Linked DNA regions of Saccharomyces cerevisiae S288C. The protein of the gene in region 1 interacts with the protein of each later gene in a pairwise test. Each region holds a gene or a part of one and is shown in the gene's direction. Other genes may lie near its edges.

What was found.
Region 2: the proteins of SRB7 (region 1) and MED4 interact in binary tests that used the Saccharomyces cerevisiae proteins (3 or more experiments, as listed by UniProt).

Annotation. Positions count from the first base shown.
Region 1 is NC_001136.10:1,077,515-1,080,257, reverse strand, and holds SRB7 (Srb7p), read left to right. Parts: upstream 1-1,808; coding exon 1,809-2,231; downstream 2,232-2,743. Other genes in the region: GIC2 (Gic2p), read left to right, coding at 59-1,210; PMT7 (putative dolichyl-phosphate-mannose--protein mannosyltransferase), read right to left, coding at 2,405-2,743.
Region 2 is NC_001147.6:656,990-660,101, forward strand, and holds MED4 (Med4p), read left to right. Parts: upstream 1-1,757; coding exon 1,758-2,612; downstream 2,613-3,112. Other genes in the region: DCS2 (5'-(N(7)-methyl 5'-triphosphoguanosine)-(mRNA) diphosphatase), read left to right, coding at 275-1,336; ALE1 (lysophospholipid acyltransferase), read right to left, coding at 2,826-3,112. UniProt on the Saccharomyces cerevisiae protein: Component of the Mediator complex, a coactivator involved in the regulated transcription of nearly all RNA polymerase II-dependent genes.

The DNA of each region.
Region 1 (2,743 bases):
AAACACCTAACACTAACAAAAGGAATACCTGACAGAATACGCTATCAAAAGAACGAATATGACTAGTGCAAGTATTACCAATACTGGAAACGAAACCATGAACCTTCCACAGATGCGGTCGATTTGGCTGGATGAAGATGAAGAAGCTGAAAAACTCTACGGTCTGCAGGCCCAGCAATTCATGGGATCTGATGATGAAGAAAACCTAGGCATTACTTTCATCAACAGCGATAAACCTGTGCTGAGTAACAAGAAAAACATTGAGTTGCCTCCACTTTCACCAAATTCACATCCGTCTTGCCACCACAGGAGAAGTAATTCTAACTCTGCAAAGTCTAAAGAATCATCGTCATCATCGTCCAGCGCCAACAAGACAAATCACAAAAAGGTTTTCCTTAAGCTTAATTTGTTGAAGAAAAAGTTGCTTGGTGCCCAACCGGACATAAGAGGTAAAGGTATCTCCACACCATTTGATTTTCAACATATTTCACATGCTGACACTAGAAATGGATTCCAAGATGAGCAATTGCAGGAACCTTCATCGCTGTCCACAGAGATTAAGGACGACTATACCTCCTCCTCAAGCAAGCGGGATTCGAAATCACTAAATAAAGCTTTTGTCACTGAAAGGATCCCTGCTAATCGTGAAAGCAAACTCATTTCAAGATCGCACGAAAATAAGACATCAAGACTATCAGTCGCGCGTTCGATCTCAGTAACGTCCTCCAATTACTCTAAAAACACACAAGGAAACAATCATTCCATTAATGGGAGAGTCGTATCTACGTCAACTATGGCTACATCTATTTTTGAGTATTCCCCAAACGCATCTCCAAAACAATTTAAAAATAAGTCACACGCTCTGGGTCATAGATACACTAATTCCACGGATTCTAGTGAGTCTTCGCTGGATTTTTTGAAGAACTACAACTTCCCCACACTACTTGAAGATAAGCCTATTTTAGACTTCTTGCCTCGTTCTCAGAGGTCAAGCGCTTATCGTAGCCTTTTAGAGACCCCAAACTCAAATAAGGACTCAGCAAAAGCCTTCTTTCCTTCACGCCAAAGCCCTCTTCCCAAGAGAAGAAACTCTATAGCTACGCCTTCTCCACAATCTAAATTTTCCTACTCTGACTCCCCTGTAAACCATAGAAAATCTTTCGATGATGTTCTTTATTCTTTCAACCAGCTCGAGCCCCTGCAAACTTAAGCTAAGGACAGAAAATGAAAAAAAAAAAAAAAAAAAATTCAAAGAATCAGCTTATAAAACATATTCAAGGACCATCTGAAGTATCATTCATTCGTTTTTTACTCGTTAATCTCATTCATTCGTTTCCTCATTCTTTTTTCTTTGTTCTTTATTTCGGCTATTTTTTCACTATTAAAATAACTAGAGCTAACAATATTATTTCTTCTGCTTTAGTTACAAAACAAGGACATTCATTTAACTTGGCGTTATCCCATACATTCGTTTATTATATCTTCTTTTAAAACACAATTTCTTTTACAGTTAAACTTTTCTGATTTATTATATATTACTTAAGATTGTTCATATAACTAACATTTATATGCTTATATGCGTGAAGTGCGCTTTTGTAGAACATGTGGCTGTTTCTGTAGAAGCCTTGTCTTTCTCTGTAATCCTTTAAAGGCCAACCGTACGTGCTTAATTACAAGCTTTGTTCGCATTGCAAGAAAGTTAGAAAAAAAATCAATTCTGAAAGATAATTATAATTCAAACGGTAAACCATTGGTTAAAAGAGGGACATAACATTTCACTAGTTCAATACATTATATGCTCTTTAACAATGACAGATAGATTAACACAATTGCAGATATGTTTAGACCAAATGACGGAGCAATTCTGTGCTACTTTAAACTACATAGATAAGAACCATGGTTTTGAACGATTGACCGTAAATGAACCTCAGATGTCCGATAAGCATGCCACAGTAGTACCTCCTGAGGAATTTTCTAACACGATAGATGAGCTATCCACGGACATTATACTTAAAACAAGACAGATAAACAAGCTTATTGACTCGTTACCTGGTGTTGACGTTTCAGCTGAAGAGCAATTAAGGAAGATTGATATGTTGCAGAAAAAGCTAGTTGAAGTGGAAGACGAAAAAATTGAGGCCATCAAAAAGAAGGAGAAACTTTTAAGGCACGTTGATTCTTTAATTGAAGATTTTGTAGATGGCATTGCAAACTCAAAAAAGAGCACATAAACTTAAGTTTTACAAAGAAATTTGCGAACAGAGGACAGAAAATGTACTATAGTTATATGGCAGAGTTAAGCGTATGTATGTTATTCTTATAAATAATTGTGCTACTCTATTTGTACCGGAGAATTATTGAAGCAATGGGAGAAAAATCATAATGGAGAAAATCTTTCTACGAGTTACTTTGCAAGGCAATCTAACGATTCTAAAAGACACAATACACTAAAGAAAAAACTTTGGAAGTACAGTTTTTTCCCCAAGTTGAAGTGTGGACTCATTGTGAAGATGTAAAAATGTAAAAACCAACCGACAATGCACTCCCAGCCAAATTCATTGTAGACCTCCCATTTGATAGAAAAGGAAGGTTCAGCAGTTGTCCACGGATTCCAAGATATCATTCTCTTACATTGCACGCACATGAAAATGATCATCGAGAGTAAGGATCCATACCATGCAAAATTAAACCAAACTGGAGAGTCTGTGTCTAACGTAATTGGCCATTTTTCCACGGCGAACGC
Region 2 (3,112 bases), on another chromosome or scaffold:
ATCACCCACCTCAACAAAATACTTCCACTTAATTATTGATCGATTAGAGCTAGCGTCAGTGATTATATGCTAGTCCGAAAGGACAGCCCCATGACAGCGGCCGCGCAGACGCCTAGGGGGGAAATAAGGGGTGACAATACCAATGAGTATAAAGGCAGAAAGAAGAGAAACAGAAGCACGGGGGTTTCGTTTGGTCTTCAAATATATGTTAGGTCGGTACCTTTTCATTGCAAAATTGAAAAGATTTGAGCGTGTAAAAGTAAAAAAATACATGATGGGTTCCCAAGATTTAGCTAGTTTAATTGGGAGGTTTAAATACGTCAGGGTGTTAGATTCGAACCCTCATACAAAGGTAATCTCACTACTAGGCAGCATAGATGGGAAGGATGCCGTGTTAACTGCTGAAAAGACGCATTTCATATTTGATGAAACGGTACGTAGACCCTCTCAAAGTGGCCGTAGCACTCCGATTTTCTTTCATCGTGAAATAGACGAGTACTCCTTTTTAAACGGTATTACTGATCTGAAGGAATTAACTTCGAATGACATCTACTACTGGGGGTTGTCTGTTTTGAAGCAGCATATTTTGCATAACCCAACTGCGAAGGTTAACTTAATTTGGCCCGCCTCGCAGTTCCACATCAAGGGATACGACCAGCAGGATTTACATGTCGTCAGAGAAACTCCTGATATGTATAGAAACATAGTTGTGCCCTTTATCCAAGAGATGTGTACCAGCGAAAGAATGAAATGGGTAAACAACATTCTTTACGAGGGCGCCGAGGATGATAGAGTTGTTTATAAGGAATACAGTAGCAGGAATAAAGAGGATGGATTCGTCATCTTGCCCGATATGAAGTGGGACGGAATCAACATTGATTCGTTATACCTGGTCGCGATCGTGTACAGGGACGACATCAAATCTTTGAGAGATTTGAACCCAAACCATAGAGATTGGTTAATTAGACTCAATAAGAAGATTAAGACCATCATCCCCCAGCACTATGACTATAATGTAAACCCGGACGAGCTAAGAGTTTTCATTCATTATCAACCTTCATATTACCATTTTCATGTCCATATAGTGAATATAAGGCATCCAGGAGTAGGCGAGGAGAGAGGCTCCGGAATGACAATACTGTTGGAAGATGTTATAGAAGCGTTGGGTTTCTTAGGTCCTGAAGGTTATATGAAGAAGACGCTTACTTATGTCATTGGTGAAAATCATGATTTATGGAAAAAGGGCTTTAAGGAAGAAGTTGAAAAGCAACTGAAGCATGATGGTATCGCAACCAGTCCTGAAAAAGGCTCTGGGTTCAATACCAATTTGGGTTGAAGGTAGAAGAGCAGCACTATTTTTTCATGTGCTGAACTTCAGGAAGCGCCGGCTTATATAAATGTCTTATTTAAATGTTTGTGTATACATCTCAATGGATTTTGAATTTTAACATAGAATGCGAATGCACAGTAACATAGTACATTCAGTTGCTATTTTCCGTATAAGCTTTCTTTCCCTTATAGCATACATAGCCTTTGACGTATTGCCAGCCTTTTCAAAGAAATGCGAAAAAATAGTGCATTACCACCTACGTAAGGTAGGCTGGAGAAAAAGATAAACTTTTGCATTCTCTGCTCACCATACCGCGAAGGAAAGTAGTTATAACGTGTCCCGTTTTCAACAAGGTTTTCTGGTATATTGTTAACGGTGGAGAAAGCATCTAGTATCAATTACTTCCAGAGTACACACAACGAATGTTATGTCTGTCCAAGATACTAAAGCGGTAGAGTTTTCTATGGGTCACATCAGATCATCCTCTGTATCCCTGGTAGCAGAGGCTACTTCAAACACGAATAGTGAAGACAAATTATCTAAGGTCCAACTCTACGAAGATTTGTGCCGGTACGAGGATACATTGAGTAAGTTGGTGGAATCTGTAGATCGTTTCAAACCAAACCTTGATATTGCCAAGGATTTGATCAGAACTGATGAGGCCTTGTTTGAAAACGTCAAACTGTTAGCTGAATATGACAATATCTACCGCAACTTACAGAAGATTGACAAAGACTCTGAAGAACTAGATTCTAAAACCAGGAAGATATTGGAAATTCTAAATGAATGTCATGACGAGTTAAAAGCACTACCGATGCTTGAACAAGTAGAGTTCGAGAAAAACACAATTTTACAGCAAAGATCGAAAATCAATTCGACAGAGTTGTTGGATTATGCCACCAAACTCTCCAAGTTTACCAAAATACCACCAACGTTCGACAAGGGAGCTGTGGGACCCAACAATTTTATATGGCCCGCAGAGGATGCCCTACGAAGAGGAATGCTTGCTATGGCCTCATTACATAGTAAAGAGCTAACTAGAATACCCGGTGAAGAAGTAGAAGAAACAGAAGTACCGACCGTACCGCCATCTCAAAGTGAAGAACAAAAAGGGCAGATGGCCAAGAAAGAAGGTACACCAAAGACAGACTCGTTTATATTTGATGGTACTGCTAAAGAAGTTGGTGATGAGGCAGACAATACCAAAGATAAAGAAAAGGAAGAAAATAATGATGATGCCCTAGATCTTGATCTTGATCTGTTTGATCCGGACGACTTCTAGTTGCAGTGTCTTGAATCTCTTCCTCGTTAGGAATGAAGAAAAAAAAAAGTTAGACAATAATTCGTGTAGGTAAAAGCGTATATAAAATTACATATATAATTTACTGCAATATGTCAAAGTGTATGAAAAACATTTGAAAGTAAGTTCCCACAGGAACTGGAAAATAAGACAACAAGACTGTGACTTCCACACGCATCTGTCGTTTTTGGCCATCTACTCTTCCTTTTTTGAAATAGGCTTTGGTGAGTAACCACTAAAACTCATTTTTCTCACACGTTCACCTGATCCACTTGCAGCGTTAGAAAATTCCTGCTTGAATCTTTCAAAAGCTTTAGAAAGGTTTTCCTCTTCTATTTCAAGACCATTTTTATTTCTCCATTCTTTGTAATCTTTGCAGAAATCTTCCCAATCTTCCTTAGCATTGTCCCACTTTTCTAACTCAATTGGTGGAATACCTAAGTTCATTTCTTCTTCTTCTGCTGTCTTTCCCTTTTCATGTT